Nothobranchius furzeri: one gene and its partners. The protein of the gene in region 1 interacts with the protein of each later gene in a pairwise test. Links are inferred from orthologs where the notes say so. Each region holds a gene or a part of one and is shown on either strand. Other genes may lie near its edges. The genes, in order: spry1, gemin4, creb5b, meox2a and hoxa1a.

What was found.
Region 2: the proteins of spry1 (region 1) and gemin4 interact in binary tests that used the Homo sapiens proteins (3 or more experiments, as listed by UniProt). The link is inferred for Nothobranchius furzeri from reciprocal best matches to the Homo sapiens genes SPRY1 and GEMIN4.
Region 3: the proteins of spry1 (region 1) and creb5b interact in binary tests that used the Homo sapiens proteins (3 or more experiments, as listed by UniProt). The two-hybrid records come from large-scale screens. The link is inferred for Nothobranchius furzeri from reciprocal best matches to the Homo sapiens genes SPRY1 and CREB5.
Region 4: the proteins of spry1 (region 1) and meox2a interact in binary tests that used the Homo sapiens proteins (3 or more experiments, as listed by UniProt). The two-hybrid records come from large-scale screens. The link is inferred for Nothobranchius furzeri from reciprocal best matches to the Homo sapiens genes SPRY1 and MEOX2.
Region 5: the proteins of spry1 (region 1) and hoxa1a interact in binary tests that used the Homo sapiens proteins (3 or more experiments, as listed by UniProt). The two-hybrid records come from large-scale screens. The link is inferred for Nothobranchius furzeri from reciprocal best matches to the Homo sapiens genes SPRY1 and HOXA1.

Annotation. Positions count from the first base shown.
Region 1 is NC_091741.1:72,820,592-72,824,846, reverse strand, and holds the start of spry1 (protein sprouty homolog 1), read left to right. Parts: upstream 1-1,453; 5' UTR 1,454-2,130; intron 2,131-2,166; exon of another isoform or gene 2,167-3,018; intron 3,019-3,142; 5' UTR 3,143-3,192; coding exon 3,193-4,255. UniProt on the Homo sapiens protein: Inhibits fibroblast growth factor (FGF)-induced retinal lens fiber differentiation, probably by inhibiting FGF-mediated phosphorylation of ERK1/2. Inhibits TGFB-induced epithelial-to-mesenchymal transition in lens epithelial cells.
Region 2 is NC_091753.1:62,515,956-62,520,163, forward strand, and holds the start of gemin4 (gem-associated protein 4), read left to right. Parts: upstream 1-1,403; 5' UTR 1,404-1,499; coding exon 1,500-1,509; intron 1,510-1,842; coding exon 1,843-3,807; intron 3,808-3,896; coding exon 3,897-4,053; intron 4,054-4,126; coding exon 4,127-4,208. Other genes in the region: dhrs13b.2 (tapasin-related protein), read right to left, coding at 1-182, 277-552, 627-803, 908-953. UniProt on the Homo sapiens protein: The SMN complex catalyzes the assembly of small nuclear ribonucleoproteins (snRNPs), the building blocks of the spliceosome, and thereby plays an important role in the splicing of cellular pre-mRNAs.
Region 3 is NC_091745.1:35,742,130-35,745,640, forward strand, and holds part of creb5b (cyclic AMP-responsive element-binding protein 5), read left to right. Parts: intron 1-485; coding exon 486-563; intron 564-1,274; coding exon 1,275-1,368; intron 1,369-3,511. UniProt on the Homo sapiens protein: Binds to the cAMP response element and activates transcription.
Region 4 is NC_091745.1:64,691,381-64,695,685, reverse strand, and holds the start of meox2a (homeobox protein MOX-2), read left to right. Parts: upstream 1-1,501; 5' UTR 1,502-1,840; coding exon 1,841-2,396; intron 2,397-4,305. UniProt on the Homo sapiens protein: Mesodermal transcription factor that plays a key role in somitogenesis and somitogenesis and limb muscle differentiation. Required during limb development for normal appendicular muscle formation and for the normal regulation of myogenic genes.
Region 5 is NC_091751.1:29,552,108-29,556,178, reverse strand, and holds the start of hoxa1a (homeobox protein Hox-A1a), read left to right. Parts: upstream 1-1,263; 5' UTR 1,264-2,431; coding exon 2,432-3,032; intron 3,033-3,390; coding exon 3,391-3,770; 3' UTR 3,771-4,071. UniProt on the Homo sapiens protein: Sequence-specific transcription factor. Regulates multiple developmental processes including brainstem, inner and outer ear, abducens nerve and cardiovascular development and morphogenesis as well as cognition and behavior.

The DNA of each region.
Region 1 (4,255 bases):
CCACGAGCGGGGATCCTGGCGGCCATCTGTCGCAGGATTTGTTTCATCGCCAAGAGGCGGGATTCTTGGTTCACTCCTTTCTGCTTCACGTTTGCACTCGCCTCAAAGTCTATTTGGTTCTCTTTTTTTTTTTTTTTTTTTTTTTTTTTTTTTGCGCATTTACTGACCCGAAATGGTCCCGGGGGTCATTCACTATTGATTTTTCCATTTGAATGGGATAAATTGACTTTGTATTGAGCTTCCTTTCTCATGGATCCGGATGTGGCGCATCCGCGACACCAATCAAACCAGACAGTCAGGAACAGAGGAGGAGGAGGAGGTTTGAAGCAGGAGTGTGGGCGGGGGAGGAGGGGGAGAGTTTTTTCCCCCTGGCTGCAGGGCTGCTTTTTTTGTTAAGGTGGTCCGAAACTAACCTCTGCAAAAGTGACGCACATGACAGCATACAGTGATGCGTAACTTCCATGTCAGACTCACATCCGCGCAATCTGGCTACCACCACATATTTTATTTTCTCAGATGCTACACACACAGGCGTAATGGGAACATTCCACAGAGGACAGAAGACATCCTGTTGATGTTTCCTCCCCACACACGTCTTCAGACTGAGCTGTCCAAAACAGGGTTCAAAAACAGGACCTCGCGTTTGCTTCGGATTTAATAAATCTATCATGAAACTTTGTGGTGGCAATGGTTATGTCATGGATCCTAAAATGACTTAAATGGATATGAATGTAATTAATCTTTTTGTACATACTTTTTGTTTTTACATATTGTTTTTAAACCGGTTTCCTATTATCAGTGTTTTTATTATTATTGGCATTTTAAATGCATTTTTAATCCACAGGTTTGATCAAATTTTGATTGGTAAAGCTGATAAACTTTTCCAGATTATCATTCATTCTTAAAAAATCAGTTTGGAGTAACTTAAATTTGTATTTTTCAGTTCAAAACTTTTCTTGAGAATCGACTCTTGGCCTGCTGCACCAAGCTGACACCTCAGAACAGCTCTCCTCAAATTTGACCCTGCACAAACATAATCCAAATTGTGTTGTTTTTAATCCAGCGGTTATTATCGAATACAATACAGCTGTGATGATTTGTCAAGTCTAATTTGACTTATTTGAGCTTTAATTCTGAGTATTTAAAACTATTCTCAGAAAAAACGCACGCCAAAAAAAACTCGTTCAAAACTTGTTTTACTGGAAAGTCATATTTTTACTAGTTGTTTATATGGAAATTTAACTACTTCCATGTTTTTTTATTTAAATTAGTCTGAAAAAAGAACTCAAAACAGGTTAGGTTTCTGCACTGATAGCAGCAGACCATCCATAGATGCATGAGTTTATTATATTAATATTAGTCCCAATAACCCTCTTCAGATCACCATAACTCACAAGAGCGGAAACAAGCCCCCCTCCTCGCACCGTCGCAAAGTGGAAAGCCGTTCCACCTTAACAAGTGCGCATATCTCTATCGGCCATGCTTCCACATCTGCCCAATGAATCAGGAGCGGATGCGATGTATCCTTTTTCAGGCGAGTGAATGGCCAATGGGAGTTGGTTAGTCGAGCAAACAGTGAGTGCTGCGTTCCCATTCATTCAGTGCTGAGCAGGCCCGCAGAGCTGGAGGGAGCGCACCGCCGACTAACCTAAAGGACGCACTTTTTAACTTCTTCGCCGCACATGAAGAGCGCAGATTCCCCGCAACAAGACCAGAAGGCGAACGCGGTTTTCCCAATAAGGAGGTGCAAACGTATGGATATAAACGCACACTTTCCCGGTGGTTTAAAATTTCCTGACAGTTTCTCCAGGACTTGTTGAAGCGGCGCGACTCGTTCTGGGGTCGGCCTCCGGAGTACGCAGCAGCTCCTCTGGTGACTCCTCTTTCCTCCGTGGATTTACACCGTTTCATCCTGGGACACATGCACGCTTGATCGGCAATGAACTATTTTTCAAACACCTAGAATAAGGGAATACCTCAAAAGGAATACGCTCGGGTTTGGAATAACAGACTAAATGTTATGCATTACACCTCCTAGCCTGCATTTGGACATTGCACCTTCCTATTTCGGATGGACTTTTGGTAACCTGGTTGGTTGATGGATTCCGCGATATGGGTGCTTGCATATAGGTAAGCATCTATTTTATCTTTCTTTTCCCGCTGTCGTTTTCTGATAAAAGCGCACGGAGCGAGCTGGAACCCATCGTATTGGTGACACAGTTGCGTTGCGCACTGAGTTTTACGGCTTTCCGCGTCATTTTTCGATGTTTTTTGGGGTATTTGGAACAAAACGCCCGCCAGCGGGTTGGATTCGTGGTGATTAGTTGACGGATTTCCATGCCCGTGTAGCTCCGTGGCTGCGCTGTAATAAACACCCCTCCCCCACGGCGGTTGTTTTCATTCATAAGTTCCCCTGTCTGTTTGGAAGCCTCCTCCAACGAATCCTGGTCTCCGGTTTTATAGGCTCTGGCTTGTATTCCCGCACTACTTCTGCTAAATGTGATCTGTGCGGATAGTCTCACGTGTGGTGCGCCAATCTGACGCAGAAAATGGGCAGCAAACCTCGGGCTTTTTTCCCGGTCGTGTAGCTTTTGGCCTCCTGCAGGTTGACTTTGCTTCAGAACATCCCCGAAGGCTTAAACTGGAGTTCCTGACCGTATTTAAGTGTAAACAGCGAACGTTGCGACACAGCGACTTCCCAAAAAATGCGCATTTTCTTTATTATTGCACGCCAGTGCGACATTCTGTTGTTTTAAAACTCAGCCTGTCTTTTGTCAGATCTTGATCTGACCCTAATATTTTTCTGAGCTGTGCTCCGGTCCTCGTTTTTTCCTGCACTTCTTTTCGAGCTTGTGACAGAATACTAAGTGAGGCAACTCATTTAGCTCCCTTGGATCGTGTCCTCATTTCGTTGCCGCGCAGCATTTAAATGTTAACTAGTCATACAAATGTAAATGAGGATGGGAAGTATTTGTAGGGCCTACTGAAGTTTAGATGTGTGCGTACTGGGAAGGAAAGGTACAAAAGGTCTTGTTAATGGTCAACTTTTTCTCCCTGGCTGCTTCCAAACTGAATCAAAATTGACATGTCTCTTCCGTCTTCCCCTTCTCCCCCTCTGCCTCCATTCCCCATCTCTTGACAGGTTTTCCAATGCATGTCCACGGTGAATGTCGGAAGTGGTGATCCCCCCAGATGGAGCTCCAAAGTCAACATGGCCCTGGCGGTTCATTAGTGGTGATCCAGCAGCCTTCCCTTGAGAGAGGGCAGAGGTTGGAGATTGAGCATGCAGCCATTCTGTCCCTGGAACAAATCAAGGCCATCCGCTCCAGTAACGAGTACACGGAGGGGCCATCGGTGGCTCGGAGGCCCCCTGTGCCCCGCATGGCCCCCAGGCCTCAGGACAAGCAGGAGAGGACTCATGAGGTCATCCTCGTCAATGTGAACAACAATTATGAGCGTCGGCCACCAGGTCATCATCACCTTGGGGGTGGCATGGTGGTTGTGTCTGGGGCACAACAGCAAGGTGGGCCTCGAGCACCTGGGCTCAGCCGCTCAACCAGCACCGGAAGTGCCGCCAGCTCGGGGAGCAACAGCAGTGCCTCCTCCGAGCAGGGACTCCTAACACACTCGCCACCCGCCAGGCCCGGCGTGAATCTACAGCACCACCACAGGGCAGACCGGCCTGTTCGGACTCAACCTAAACCCAAGAACCTTTCACATCCCCAACAGGGACTTCACTTCCACCAGCCTCCACTAGAGGCTCCACTAAAGCCCCAGGGCAAAGGAAAGTCAGACTTTTCTGGCTCGGGTGACTCAGTGGTGGCTGCTGCTGGACACCAGTTCATCTGTGAGTGCTGCGGGAAGTGTAAGTGCAGTGACTGTAGGGCTCCCAGGAGCCTGCCATCATGTTTGGCATGTAATGGTCAGTGCCTCTGCTCTGCTGAAAGTGCTCTTGAGCATGGCACGTGCATGTGCCTTGTTAAGGGCATCTTCTACCACTGCTCCAATGACGATGAGGGCGATTCGTGCGCTGACCACCCCTGCTCCCTGTCGCGCTCCCACTGCTGCTCTCGTTTCCTGTGCATGGGGTTAATGTCGGTACTCTTCCCTTGTCTGCTATGCTACCCACCTGTTAAGGGCTGTCTGAAGGCGTGCCAGGGTTGCTATGACCGGGTTAACCGACCCGGCTGTCGCTGCAAGAACTCCAACACTGTCTATTGTAAACTGGAGAGCTGGGCCCCACAGAGCCAGGAGA
Region 2 (4,208 bases), on another chromosome or scaffold:
TGATCCCTGCCTGGAGCGTCCGGTGTGGCTGAACAGTCGGGTCCTCTCCCCGCGGCGTTGCCAGTGCCACTCCACAGTGGTGTTTGCTCCCCGGTGGTCCACACTAAACTGGCAGTGGAGCTTTTGTTCAGATCTCAGGCTGGTTTTCACCAGTGGTGTTTCTGTTTTCATTACCATGGCAACTGTGAGACCAGATGGACAAAGACAGAACACAGAGAAACACCATCAAAGAACCAGAACTGGAGCTGTTGGCATTATGGAGTGAAACTAACTGACCTGATGTAGTGAGCATCTGTCCATCAGTGATGGGAACCCAGCTGAGGTAGTCCTGCTTTCCTGGTGGAGGCTGGTCAGACGGGTGTCTGAGGAAGCCGAGCACAGTGAAAAGGCCCTGGTTGTGTTTGAGAGAGACGGAGAACCAGTGGTTGTACTCCCTGGCCTTCTGACTGGGCCAGTGGACATAGATGCCCTGTGTGCTGTATCTACGCAGCTCACACTCCAGCTGTTCTGCCTCCACTCCCTCCACATAGTGCCGCATGTCCACCTTGGACCCTGCAGCAGAACACAGAAGAGTAAGGTGCAACCGTTGTCAGGTGTGTAATGGTGACCTGTGTCAGGTGGCTTACCTGTGACCTGAAAAGTGATGGTGCGTAGATCTACAGGAGCTTCTCCTGTCTGACCAAACTGCAGCACAGCATTTCTGGGGATCCGCTGGGTCTCTCTATGTCCTTCATTGTTCATAATCACCTGTTCATCTGTGAAGTGACAGGGCAGCCATAGTATCTGCTGGCTACAGTAGACCCCTGGAGACAGACCAACAACTCAAAGCAGCTGATCCGAGTGGGCTTCCTCCAAAAACACAAACTGTCCCCACACTCGCAGGGATACAAGCCTTCTGAAGACTTACCTGTCCAGATAAAACCGTAAATAAGAATCCTGCAGGGTGGAACCATGGTTATTCATCAGATCTACTGATCCTTGTTCCTGCTTCATTCAGCTGCACATTTATTCTCAGAACACTTTCGCTTTCATTTACAACGAAAAAAAACCTGCTTTGCATGCAGCTGCATCACGTGACGAGCAGAGACAGTTTCACAAGGAGAAATACTGCAAAACACTTTTAAATGTCACTAAAAGCGAGTAACGTTTAAACCATCACACGTAGGGCTGAACCGGTGTTCCGGTCTGGCGGCAGCACTGGTGAACGCGGTGTCTAGTCAACAACGCAAAACCTCGCAACAGTAAAAACAAACCAGTCAACAATCCAACAGAAAAGGCGAGGAAAACAACAACAACAACAACAATAACAACAAGGTGAAGCAGGTTTGGCGGTTTGCTGGGTTAATGCGGCTGCAGTACCGTATCTATCCAGGGGTGGCGCTGTGGGGACGCCTCGCCACCTGACAGCAGCCCGGCTTCCTGCTGGAAACCGGAAGCGCCTTTCCTGGTAACGAACTGGTTCACGAGGCGGGCGGGTGTATGTTCCTGCCTCCGCAGCCATGGACAAAGGTAATTATTAATGTTAGACATGTCTCGTGAACTTGCGCGAGCTTCGTCTCCAGTCGGTAGAGACGAACATGGCGCTAAACGCTCAGGCTGAAGCAGCAAGCTGCAGGTTTGAAGAGCCCTCTCCTAGCCAGTCGTTCGTTCTGGACCTGCTTCACCTGCAGCCTGCCCCCCCTTCACACACACACACACACACACACACACACACACACACACACACACACACACGCACACACACACACACACACACACACACACACACACACACACACACACCTGGATAACGCTGATCTCGGCCCAGCTCGGGTCTCAGCCTGTTGCTTGCCTGTTTTTCAGATTCCGCCGTGCTCCAGGGAGCTTTCCTCCAGGCAGACAAACTGTGCCTCCCCTCATCCCTGTCCCTGATGCAGAAGGCGGACTGGAGTCGTGTGAAGCTCCCGATCCTGCAGGCCCTCAGAGACACCTGTGGGCTGAGCGCTCTGGCCTGGCAGAAGAAGGTTGTTTGTGTGGTGTGGTTGAAGCTGATGAGCAGTGAGGCTGAGGAAGATGTGGAGAAGGGGTGGAGGGACAACCCTTTCTTCTGCCTCCAGAACGGCCTCCCTGACGTAAGCCGGGCTGTTCTGCTGGAGCTGGTGAAGTCACTCTCAGCTGCGCCGGTCTTTGCCCGCTTGCTCCTGCGTCTGCCTCAGCAGCAGATCTGCACCGAGCTGCAAACGCTGGCAGAGCATCTGAGGACGGATCCCAGTCCTGAAGACGTCTGCTTTCTGTTGGAGGTGTGGTGGGAGCTGTGGAAAGGCAGAGACAAATGTCAGACGCAGGAAGACAAAGACTTAGAGATGATGTTTGTCAGCCAGTTTGCACGCCTGTCCTCCGATTGTCCCAGTGTCTCGCCTCAGGCTGCAAAACGCTTAAAGCTGGACCTTCCTGCATCGTCAGCAAACACAGACGTTCTGCACGTTCTCCTCCATGCTCTTAAGAACATGAAAGATCAAGTATCTACTACAGATTTGTGCCTGCAGTCCCTGTTAGTCTGCCTCGACGCTCTTTACACATCCTTCCTAACAGACCCAGAGGTTGTGCTTCCAGTTGAAGAGAAGTTGCTCATCCTCTGTAGGCTTGTTGACACCAGAGGACAGACGCAGGCGTGGAGCCCCAAACTCCTTCAGGAGGCTCTGAGAGACCTGCGTGCTGCTCACTCACCAGCTCCTTTTCAGCCCAGCAGGATGACGCTGAGCCAAGCTTTGAAGATCGTAGCAGAACTCACAGAATTCTGGCTGGAACAGGATCTCCTGAGCGCTCCTGGCTGCTCCGCGTTCCTGCTGCAGCAGAGCGTCCAGAGAGTCCTGGCAGCTCTAGAAGAAACGGGAACATCTGAGCATGTGACTGAGAAGAGCACACTCAGAGGTCTGCTGAGTTCACTGTCTCTTCCTGCCGTAGAGACCCCCCCTCAGGTGCAGGCTCAGGTCGCTGCCACCGTCATCAGTCACCGCCTGGAGGACTGTGAGGAGTTTGCTGCGCTGTTTGCCAGCCAGTTGTCCTGGACTCATGAAGAGCTGTGGGTGGACTGCCTGGAGAAGAACCACACGGCCTTCACGCAGCCCAACACCCTCATCAGCCTCTCCTCCACCCTCGTGAGTCGCCTGCAGCGTGGGAACGTGAACACCACCTGGTGCAGGAGAGCCATTAAAACGGCTGCAGATGTCTTCTCTGCTCTTTCGTTAGAAAACCAGAACAAGGTCCTCGCTGCAGTACCGAGCCGCTCCAGCAGGGGCTTCTTTGGCTGCTCTGTCCCCTCGGCTGTGGCAGACGGCTTTGAGCAAGAGCTGAACATGGCCTTTAACTGCCTTATCCAGGGAGGGGGCGGGGCCTCAGCAGCAGTGTCCCAGGGCCGCCTGACCACAGCAGCCTCTCTGGTAGCTCGAGTGGCCTTTCAGAGCCCAGAGGCGGCTTTAAGGTCCTGCTGCCACGCCGCCGTTTTCAACAGGGGAGCCTTCAGCCTCATGGCAAAGATCCTGCAGCAGCTGCCTGGACTCCGCGGACGGAGGGGAGGGGAGGATGAGGCAAACGGAAACGATGTGGAGCAGCAGGAAGCTGGAGGGCGTGGTAGTCTGTTCTGTAGGTGTTTACAGACGGCGGTCAGAGGCAAGCCACTGTCCGCCTGTGAAAAGGAGCAGCTCCTCAAGTTCCTGTCTCTGCTCATGGCGCCGGGCCCGACGCTCCAGGGAGAGCAAGAGACACAGAGGTTCTTGTCTCCACAGGAGGTGGTCAACACACTGGTCCTGCCTCGCCTCTCAGCTGCAGGTCGGGGTCCATGCTGGCTTTAATCTCATCTGTGTGTGATCTGTAAACGCTCGTCACATTCTGCTGCTGTCCCATCTGTGTTTCTGCAGCTGAAGAGTCCTGCGATGCAGAACTGAGTCTGCAGCTCCTCCACGCTGCTTTGGCTGTGGGTGTCCAGGAAGTAGCCCCCTCCCCTCACTGGGTGTTGGACTGCTCTCCCTTCCCCCTCCTCTATATTCTGGCCCAGCAGTACAACCAGACTCTCATGTGTGTATGATCCCGTGTGTGTGTGTGTGTGCAGCGGTTGTTGTTGGGCTTCTACTCATCTGATCTCTGTTAGGTGCTGGGAGCGGTCGTCGGAGGACAGCGACCACCTGAGCTCCATGGACACCAAGGAGCTGCTGGAGTCGGTGCTGAGCTTG
Region 3 (3,511 bases), on another chromosome or scaffold:
TTTTCTATCTAAGAGGATCTAAGAACCAAGCTAAATGTGTTTAGAGCTGTAAGGACATTTGGATTAAAAGTTGTGTTTATATATTGAAAATGAATTTAACTCTTAACTAACTGTCCACTGCTTACCTTACAGAACGTTCCTCAACACAACTCTAGCAACTAAATCAGCAAAACCTTTAATCATTTCGCTGGTTTGATGCATCAGAAATTTGCATCTTCGCTGGTGATTGTAGATCAGTGCAGAGCAGCGTGTTCATTCTTGAGAAAACATTTATGACTTAATTTAAATTAGCTAAACGAAACAGGATTAGTACTTCTTACTGTATATTTGTTCTTATACAATCTATTGAGAATACATGTTATGCTTTAGCAAAACTTCGTATATTTTATGTAAAAATGCATTTGAAATATACTTTTTCAAGCTTTTTCAAAGTTACTGTTTCAAGGAAACAACAGTTCATATTTTCTTTTTTATGTTTTCTCTAGTTTTATGAGACTCTGGCCAGAGGGATGAACTCAGACCAGGAAAGGCTGTTTGTGTGTAACGCTCCCGGCTGTTCTCAGGTCAGTGTGGGTACAAACCAAAGCCCGAAACCACCAAGCAGCCAGACTTTCTTGTAATATTTGGTAGTGTTCTTGATCAATAGTTCTCCAGGTTTTTGGAAAGATTTTTATAGACTTTGACGGTTATTTTACTAGTTTTCTGTCCAGTTCTTAGGTTTGATCATGACACTAAGGATGGAGGACAAAATAAGTTTAGATCTAAAATAAACTGTCTGCAGCAGATGAACGATCTGAAAGTTGTATTTTTAATAAATGGAGAAAAGAAATCAATCAAAAAGTTGATCCAGGACGTGAGAAATGCACCATCCTGGTCTTGGCCCTGTGTCGCTACCTTTTTTTAATAAATTCAACAGAAAAATTGGAACAAGTGAAGTCTTTGTGACAGACTGATCTAATTTAAAACTGTATTTTTGTCTAGTTGCTTGTTTAGTGTTGATGCAACAGTGGCTCATGCCTTGAGTTTAGCTTCCCACGCTTGAACGATTCACTGTCAGGATCAAGTGGCTTAAACAAGTAACAGAAAAACAGATCAGTTCGTTTTCAGGCACTGGACTGAAAATAGCTGAAACTAACAGCAAAAGTCCAGATTTATTACTAGAAATTCTGATTCTTCCGAAGCTAAAGCAGGGATGTACCTCAAGACTTTTAGACAGTTTCTTCTCGTTAGTGTAAATAATACTCACACACCTCTTCTTCTTCCAAACCGAACAGCGGTTCCCCACGGAAGACCATCTGATGATCCATCGACACAAACATGAGATGACCCTTAAATTCCCCAGCATAAAGAATGACAACATGTTATCAGGTGAGTTATGACAGCATCAACACTGTTAGAGTCCAGCAGCTTTGCTCGCAGATGTGTGCCAAGGTGACGCATGCACACACATTCTTGTCTGTCATTAGACACCTTTATGGCAAGCTGTTTACAGTAATGTAAATCATATGGTGCGTAGCCTTCAGCTCACTTCCAGTCATTGCATACCAACGGTGCAAACTTCAGCGGAGGCAGATGCACTCACATAGCCGATGCAGACGCGCTCACATAGCCGATGCAGACGCGCTCACATAGCCGATGCAGAAGCGCTTACATAGCCGATGCAGACGCGCTCACATAGCCGATGCAGACGCGCTCACATAGCCGATGCAGACTCGCTCACATAGCCGATGCAGACGCGCTCACATAGCCGATGCAGACGCGCTCACGTAGCCGATGCAGACGCGCTCACATAGCCGATGCAGACGCGCTCACATAGCCGATGCAGAAGCACTCACATAGCTGATGCAGACGCGCTCATGTAGCGGATGCAGACGCGCTCACGTAGCCGATGCAGACACACTCACATAGCGGATGCAGACGCACTCACATAGCCGATGCAGACGCGCTCACATAGCGGATGCAGACGCGCTCACATAGCGGATGCAGACGCGCTCACATAGCGGATGCAGACACACTCACATAGCGGATGCAGACACGCTCACATAGCGGATGCAGACACACTCACATAGCGGATGCAGACACGCTCACATAGCGGATGCAGACGCCCTCACATAGCGGATGCAGACGCACTCACATAGCCGATGCAGACGCGCTCACATAGCGGATGCAGACACGCTCACATAGCGGATGCAGACACGCTCACATAGCGGATGCAGACGCGCTCACATAGCCGATGCAGACGCACTCACATAGCGGATGCAGACGCCCTCACGTAGCGGATGCAGACACACTCACATAGCGGATGCAGACACGCTCACATAGCGGATGCAGACGCGCTCACATAGCGGATGCAGACGCGCTCACTTAGCGGATGCAGACGCACTCACGTAGTGGATGCAGACACGCTCACATAGCGGATGCAGACGCGCTCACATAGCGGATGCAGACGCACTCACGTAGTGGATGCAGACACGCTCACGTAGCGGATGCAGACACGCTCACATAGCGGATGCAGACACGCTCACATAGCCGATGCAGACGCGCTCACATAGCGGATGCAGACGCACTCACATAGCGGATGCAGACTCACTCACATAGCGGATGCAGACGCACTGACATAGCCGATGCAGACGCGCTCACGTAGCGGATGCAGACGCGCTCACGTAGCGGATGCAGACGCACTCACGTAGCGGATGCAGACGCGCTCACGTAGCCGATGCAGACGCACTCACATAGCGGATACAGACGCGCTCACGTAGCGGATGCAGACGCGCTCAAGTAGCCGATGCAGACGCGCTCACATAGCGGATGCAGACGCACTCACGTAGCGGATACAGACGCGCTCACGTAGCCGATGCAGACGCGCTCACATAGCGGATACAGACGCGCTCAAGTAGCCGATACAGACGCGCTCACGTAGCCGATGCAGACGCGCTCACATAGCCGATGCAGACGCACTCACATAGCGGATGCAGACGCACTCACATAGCCGATGCAGACGCGCTCACGTAGCCGATGCAGACGCACTCACATAGCGGATGCAGACGCGCTCACGTAGCGGATACAGACGCGCTCACGTAGCGGATGCAGACACACTCACATAGCGGATGCAGACACGCTCACATAGCGGATGCAGACGCGCTCACATAGCGGATGCAGACGCACTCACGTAGTGGATGCAGACACGCTCACGTAGCGGATGCAGACACGCTCACATAGCGGATGCAGACACGCTCACATAGCCGATGCAGACGCGCTCACATAGCGGATGCAGACGCACTCACATAGCGGATGCAGACTCACTCACATAGCGGATGCAGACACACTCACATAGCCGATGCAGACGCGCTCACGTAGCGGATGCAGACGCGCTCACGTAGCGGATGCAGACGCACTCACGTAGCGGATGCAGACGCGCTCACGTAGCCGATGCAGACGCACTCACATAGCGGATACAGACGCGCTCACGTAGCGGATGCAGACGCGCTCAAGTAGCCGATGCAGACGCGCT
Region 4 (4,305 bases), on another chromosome or scaffold:
GATTAGTGTTCTCATTATCAGATGTTCTGGAATACCTTTTATTGGGTGGAGCAGGTTTCATAAAACATTCAGGAAAACCTCCTTAAAGAGCTTCGTGTTTGGATCAGAGAACAGCCGAGTTCCACATGGTCCAAAGAGCAAGAAGACTAGAGCAGAATTTTAAATTAGGTTCATGTACTCTTGAATATAATTGATGAATTCATTATTATTTATAGCAATTAGACCAAGTTTCATGTGTGGATTTGATGCCCAAATCCATGTTTCTAACTAGTATTTATTTTAAAAACTATACATATAACTAAAATATTTGAATTGTATAAATAAAATAGGTTAAGAAAAATTTGTTTTGTCAACAGATTAAATTAAATAAAAAACTGAAAAGAATAAAAAAGAAACATATTCCTTAAAATATTTTATGGCCTTAAAAAATAATTCCAAGTCTTAATTAACACAAAATAAATTTATGTGCAGAATTTCTCTTTTATTAGGATTAAAACAAACCTGATTCATGCAAATAAAATACTTACTAAGGTAAAAAAAAGAGTTGTAAATAAACATTTAGTGACATCAACATAAAAAACTGCTTCAGAGGTTGGATGGATAAAAAGCAAGGGGTCTTACTAAAGAACCCTGAGGGACACCACAGGTTAAAGAAGCTGATTTATAAGAAAAATCTCTGATGTATACAGAAAAGGATCCTTCGCTCAGATAAGAGGCTAACTTATTAAAAAGGTTCCTTGAACGTTCTCAAGACGAGGGATAAAAAGTCATGACCTGCTGGATCGAGTGCAGCTGTGAGATGCTGTGATAAACAGCTCCGACACCAGAGTCAACAACAATTAGAATATCATGAATCGTCTTTAAGGGCTGGATTAAACCAGATTGAAAACCCCACACATATGGGTATGTGGTTAAAAAACTACTGGAATACAATGATCCACCTTCTCTTTTAAAAGTAAAACAGCGTAAAGGCGGGTTGTGACGTCCACAGGGTTCAGTAATCAAAAAAAAAAATCCACATTTGAATCTGTATTTGTGTATCAGTTGATTCATTCTTTATTTTAGCCGCTAAATAAAATAATAACAAAGTGTGAATTATTTGTTTACACAAAAAAATTACTCAATAGGTGACAGGAAGCCGGAGAGCATCACCGTGGCTCCCGGCTGTGGCGGTATTTGTTTAGCGATGCCGTGACGTGCTGAGTTAACCTTTGACATCTCTCCACTTCCCCTGACTCCACATCCCCTTCTTCCAGCCACACCCGTGAGACATTCACGTCGTTTTTAACACGTAAAAATCAAAAAGAAAGGGAAGATGGGCACCACAGGTCAAGTCCAAAATTAGGCTCAGCCATTTTAATAGTGTAGATTTATTATGCTGTGCTTTTAGGAGGGTGATCATATATATGTGGTCAGTAGCGCGTATGCAGTCTATGACCCAGCCTCCCTCTCACGTTACACCCTATTTATAACATCCCCTTTGCTGGCTCCCCTCGTTCTGCAGTTCCTAGGAACCTCCTGCGCTTCCAGCCTCGAGCCTCAGTCTTGTGTTCCTCCTGACATCTGAGAAGAGGTGCAGCAGCTTGTCCTGGGCTAACTGTTTATCCTGCACAGCCTGCCAGGCAGACGCATGCTCTGGATTACCACAGGACACCAGTCTCAGAGCACTTTTTGCTCTCCACGCTGACTTTTTGATTACTGTGCTTTAAGGGGAACACAGAAAAGGTTTTGGGAAAGTCTCTTGGATATGTGCGTGTGATCTTTCTTTGTTTCCTGGTGATTTAGTAACTTCATCCCCGTTACCTGCTCGTCTCACCTGTACTGGAGGTCTCCTCACCCCATGGATCACACGCTGTTCGGATGCCTGCGGAGCCCCCATGTCCCGGGTCAGGCCCTGCATCCTGCCTTCACCCAGTCCCCCCTGACTCTTCATGGACGCTCAGATCACATCACCTACCCCGACCTGGCCTCTTCATCCTCCTCCTCCTCCACATCTTCCCCTTCGCCCTGTGTCATCTCCAGCTACTCGACTGATGATGGCCTGTTTACCCACCACCACCACCACCACCACCACCGGAGTCACCTGCCTTCCCAGCAGCATCACCAACAACCTCAGCATCACGCATCTTGGCACATCCCACAGATGCCGTCACCTGGCGGCGGCAGTGTGCGTCACGGCCTCTGCCACCCGCATTCCCTCTCGTCCCACGAGAATGTTCCCACACCTCCGGACCTGGGCCACCCCGGGGCACCCAGTATGTGCGCCAGCACCCCGACGCTGGGCAATGACAGTACCCCCACGGGGGCCTCCTGCGTACCCTCAGACTTTGGCAGACAGACTCTGTCACCTGCCGAGGCTGAGAAGAGGAGCAACAAGAGGAAAAGTGACAGTTCAGGTAAGAAGAGATGAGATGATCCTAGAGAGGGAGTTTAATTCTATTATTTCACAAGACCGCCCACACGCAGACTAAAAGTGAATCAGCATTTTTAAAAATGACCACAAACATCTGTACAAGTTGGCGGGATTCTGGGAAATCCACAGCTGTGATAGAAAAACCAAAAATCAGTTTGTAGGCGTCGGCTGACACGCAGCGACGCTGCAGGCGTACGGCGGCGCTGAGCAAAGGCCACGCTGCGACTGCACGGGCACATCTGACTGCTGGCACGCTTTGTGTAAAACTAACATCTGGTTTGTTGCGACGCTCTTCAGAGGGCAGAAAACAAGGTGCACAGTTAAGAATTGATGTCATGGATTGTAAAAGGCAACACCGGCGCCTCGTGCTGCACTTAACGCCTCACTGAGGCAAACATGTCAGGTCTTTTCTTCTTTCTGAATCTTGTGGTGAAAATAAATCACTGGAACGAAGCGGGAAACATAAGGAGTCACGATGATCTAAGAAGGCAAACTTTTAAATAAATGAGCACACTGGAAAGAAAAATCTCAAACAGCATGTTATTATTTTAATAATTAAAACAGTGATCAAATGTTTTACTAATTTACCAACAAATATAGTTTAACTTAAAAAATGATCTGCTTTGTAGCGCTGCTTTTGAGTTTAATTTAACAACTTTAGCCCGTGTCCCCTCAAAACCCTAACCCTAAATTACGTTTGAATCAAGCTGAACCAAAGAATCACACAAATACCACAAAAGCAGATTTGACTAAATGTGTACCGACTGAGATCACCTGCTGGATGACCTGCAGACACCCACCGAAATAATCAATCACTGCCTGACAAACGTCTGGGTTTAGGTCACGGGAGTCCTGGCAGGGAAGCTGATATCGCTGAGAGTTTCAAGGAAACGTGTGCTCGCCGTTCCCTCAGTCCTTTTGTGGATGGCAGAGCTTCAGCGCCGATCTTGCATCCTTTTAAAGGCCTCTGTTGTCACATCTCAGATTTTCTCATATGGGATTATAATTTTGATTCCAACAGTTTATAAATAAATGTTTGTAAATTTTATTTTAGAATAAGCCTTTGTTGGGTTTATTAGCCCCGCCCCGAAACACGACTGGAAATAATTTGATTTATAATTCACAGTCAGTCCAGATGTGATGGAATTGGAAGAAAATTGGAAAAATCATTGCAACACAATAAAAACAAAATGACGAAGCCTAATTTATTTAGTTGTTCCGAGTTAAACGTCCAGTTATCCAAATGGAAAATGTTGCAATCGCATATTTCATCAATGCGCTGCTTAAAAAATTTTTCTTCTCTCCGTTTGAAATCCCCGGAAAACCGAAATCCTGCCTTTGCTGCTGCGTCAGATGAGCTATGCATTCTCGCCACAGCAACACCAATCATACTGATTATGGAGGCTAACGACACTGCTGACTCAGTCAGCTGTCTAAATATCAGACCGCTCGCTGCCTTCTGCATGAGATAGAGCCTGGCTTGGATTCCAGCATCTGGACCAGGAGCTCGAAGGAAACCTGAATTTAGCAACAGAAATAAAAACAAAACCTGAGAACTTATTTCCATGTTCAGTTTTTACCTCCTTTCTCCTCCAATATGGATCAGTTTTCTGCTTTTGCTACCAGGTTGTGACTGTTTCCTGATGCCAGGCTGCAGGCTCAGTTAATGAGCTGAGTCAGGGAGTCTGGTTTCTGCTTGGGTTTGGGGTTTTTTGTGGGTCTTGTGAGGAAAGGGTGTCTTTGCTGAGTTGATAGTGCTGCGGAGGGAGTGGTCGTCCTTTAAAAAGTTCAGAGTTTTCTGACAGAAACAATAAAAGATGCTTTTTTGGATGAGGTGTTGTTATAAAAAGTGCAAGCGTGAGGTGCCAGAGTCTTCTCGCTGGCACTAAGAG
Region 5 (4,071 bases), on another chromosome or scaffold:
GTGGCGTAATGTGCACAAATAAAAACCCCACTTACGTTTTCATGCGGGACTCCCCGATTCCTAAGCTAAAAGGGGCCGAGCTCTCTGCGTGCGTTTGGTAATAATTCATTTTTATGGCTTGTTTAACACGCGGCTCTGACTCGGAGACAGCAGCAGCAGCAGCTCAGGTTAAAGCTGCTCTTATTTAGCGTCGCTTCTCCACTCACACTGGTGGAATCTGTGATTTTTTTTATTTAAAGACAAGACTGGTTTGTGTGCGTTTCAAACCCCTCACTTCAATAAAGGGATTATGAACATTTTAGCACTCTTGCGCAGCTTTGATTGGATTTATGGGAACTCAATAATCCAGTTTAACTCAGAATCACTAAAAAACACCAGTTGAGATGAAAGCTGCAGTGATTTTTCAAAACGTGTCAAACTTAGCCGAAAGCAGAAAATCAGCTCTAACTTTGGCTGTGTGCGTGTGTGGGTGTGTGTGTGTGCGCGCGCGCGCGCGTGTGTTCAGATGAGGGGGTGGTAGGAGGAAGCAGGGGGCAGATGCTGCTCTCCTGCACTACGGGCCTGCATAACCAAATCATTCCGAGACAGCGCGCCTTTTCTGCGCCCCCGCGGCCACACAAAGAGCCGCGGAATCTCCGCGGGGCCCGGCTGGCCTCAAGCAGCAGAGACGCGATGGATCCTCCGCGCCCACTCACTACAGAGGCAGCTGCTGGAGAGGGGTGGGGGTGGAATGGAAACCAGTTCGTCTCTCTCTCTCTCTCTCTCTCTCTCTCTCTCTCTCTCTCTCTCTCTCTCTCTCTCTCTCTCTCTCTCTCTCTCTCTCTCTCTCTCTCTCTCTCTCTCTCTCTCTCTCTCTCTCTCTCCCTCCCTCTGCTATGTAGTTTGCAACAAGTCTTTGAACATTTTCACATCTAATTTTGTTTTTCTAACATCCTAAAACATTACATTTAAGACAAAGTAGAACTACATTTGACTAATGGAAAAAAGCTGCACATTTGAATGTTGCTAATATTTTACTGATACTGCTTGTTTGAGTACCAGTGAGACAACTTAGACGTTTGTAGGAAAAATAAATAGAGTGTAAAATCTGAATCACGCTTTTCTGAGCTGAATTAATCTACTTAATAACAGAAGCACGTTTATTTAAGTGCATGTCTATCTTCAGCCTGAGGGGGCGCTCATCCCTCCATCTGATCCTTCCCTTCGCCCTCCCTCCCTCCCTCTCCTCTATTCCTTCCTCGGTTAGAGGTTGGGCATCTGCTACAACCCCCTCACTCCCCTCCGCTCTCGCGCCTCCCGTGACCATTCGTTTTCCCAGCAGCTTTATTTGATGAACTTAACAGGATAATCAGCCCACTCGCACCTCGGGCTACATATGCGCATTAGCAGGCTTCGCATTATTATATCATTTGATCACCATACATGCATAATGAATACATGCGGGACTGGAACTCTGGTAGATGGCTGACCTATGACCCGAGAACGGAACAAAACATTAATATCACATCACCTTAATGGTTTTGTCTCCTAATCACGTTTGTGCGCTACTTCAGGCACATTTTAAACGTAATTTGAGCTTTTTGCGCATCCTTTTGCGGTGTTTTATGAATATATGACCGGATCATCTCTCCTCGTAACGTGAAATGCACAAACCTGCTCCTGCTGCGACCTTAAGAGGAAACGAAATTCTGCTGGAAGGTGGCTTGGTGCGATGGGATGGATGTATTTAACAGGGGAAACACGTCCTCTCCATCACATTGTAACAATATTTGCCCAGAAAATCCCTTAATGTTCCAGCGTGAAACATTTCACATCGGAATGGGACATTAATAGCCTAAAGATAGCCCGCGGCTGCAGCGAGCGCGCGCACTCTCAGCCATCCATCCTTCCTGGACAGAATGACACATGCGACACCAGGGCTTATACGCACGGAGACGCCAACACACGCGCGCACGCACACAGACTCACACTTCTCTGTTCTAAAAATACCTGAGGTCAGAGTGCAGAGCGGTCCACCTTGGATGACATCTCTCCTCAGTGTGAGATTGCGCAGCAGGGGGGTTAAAAGACACCGGGTTCACCGTCTCAGCAGCTCCTCGTGTGTCCCGGAGCTGTCCACCTCCGTCTGCCTCCCAGCCCATTGTTTGCTCGGCCAATACATTAGTGGCGACGCGCGTCACCTTGATCGACGAGCGCCTGGAATTTAAATAGCCCCTCAAACACCAATCTGTCACCGGCTAAAGGGACAAGGACCCTCACTGGCTGACCCGTGCCCACGTGACAGTGCCCGTTCATTGATATCCCCAGCACCCCCCTCCCTGCACTGATAGGGACAGAAAGGTAAAGGTTGGCACGGTCACTTTAGGGTGAGAGTGTGGAGAGATCAGAGGGGGAGAGGACAGTCTCCTGGTCCCAGACTAACGATGCTACAATGAGCAGCTTCCTAGATTACTCGGTGATGAGCGGTGAGGGTGGCTCATGTTCGATCAGGGCTTTCCACTCGGACCACGGGATTACAACTTTCCAGTCCTGCGGGGCTGCAATCAGCAGCTGCGGGGCGGATGAGCACTTCATGGCAAACAGGACTTCCCCTGACAGCATCCCTCACCAGCCGGCCTCTTACCAGCCTACTGCCACCTCTATGGGTCTCTCCTATGGGGCCCACCCGGCCTGTGGCTCTAACTATGGGCCCCAAAGTTTCTGCGCCACGTACAACCACTACACACTCAACCAGGAAGTAGACTCTGCACCTGCATTCCCCCAGTGCAGCCCTTTGATGTTTTCAGGTAACATCTCTTCCTCCATGGTGTCTCAGCATCGCCATGGCTACAGTGCTGCCACCTTGGGCCAGCTGCAGTATGCTGCTTATGGCGGGGGTCATGAACAGGCACCTTCTTATCCTGGGGCCTCCAACCCGCTGTCACCTCTGCATGCAGCTCACCTGGAAGCTTGCTGCTCACCTCTGTCAGAGAGCGCATCTTCTGCGCAGACTTTCGACTGGATGAAAGTCAAAAGAAATCCACCGAAAACAGGTGGGTGCAGAGCTGTACCAGCACGAGGGAGATAGGTGGGAATCTAGTCTGTTGCTATTATTGGTTTTAATTGGTTTTAATCGGTCAAGCAGACTGGAATCCACACAGGAGATGTTGACACTGCGAGCGCGTTGACGCGCAAACGCATTAAATGTCCATGTTTCCACTTCAAGCGTGCGCCCCTTTCTTTTAAAAGTTGGTTTAAAGACATTTGTCTTTAACTATAGAGTGTGTTTTATATGTAAAATAATTAGGTTTTCTTTGCCTGCTGCGTAAAAGTTGGTTCTTTTGGATAATCGCACAGTTTGTGCGTCCTTTGGGTGAGAAAATAAACTTGAATCCCTCTTCCTGTCCCCAGGTCGCTCCGGCGAGTACGGCTATGCGGGCCAGCCAAACATCGTCCGGACCAACTTCACCACCAAGCAGCTGACAGAGCTGGAAAAAGAATTCCACTTCAACAAATACCTGACCCGGGCGCGCCGAGTGGAGATTGCTGCTGCGCTGCAGCTGAATGAGACTCAGGTGAAGATTTGGTTTCAGAATCGGAGGATGAAGCAGAAAAAGCGCGAGAAAGAGGGGATGCTGCCGGCTAAGGTCCAGTCATCGCACCCGGAAGAAATAAATCAAGAGAAATTAGACGATGCCGCTTCTGAGAGGTCCGTCTCAGCGCCGTCCACGCCCTCTCCCAGCTCATCCACGGTGTCCTCCACTGGCACGGACACGTACACCTCTACCTGAGCAGCCTATCTGGGCCACACGGGCCTGTAAATACCAACGTTTAAATGTATCAAAACCAGAGTCTTTGTTCGTGAATGACATTGTGTGAACATTTATTAAAGTTAGTCCTCCATCCGGGAGCTTTTGGATCACCCTGGAGCTTTAGGTTTAAATTGTGCAATGTGTCTGCAAGAACATCTCTGTATCTTCAGATAAGTTTGATCTGTAACGTGAGCAAAAAAAGGCAGACACGAGTCTGCAAACGAAAACAAATGTAAAGTGGTGTATCCGGGTCATGGCGGGTATGCAGCGCAGGGTGCTG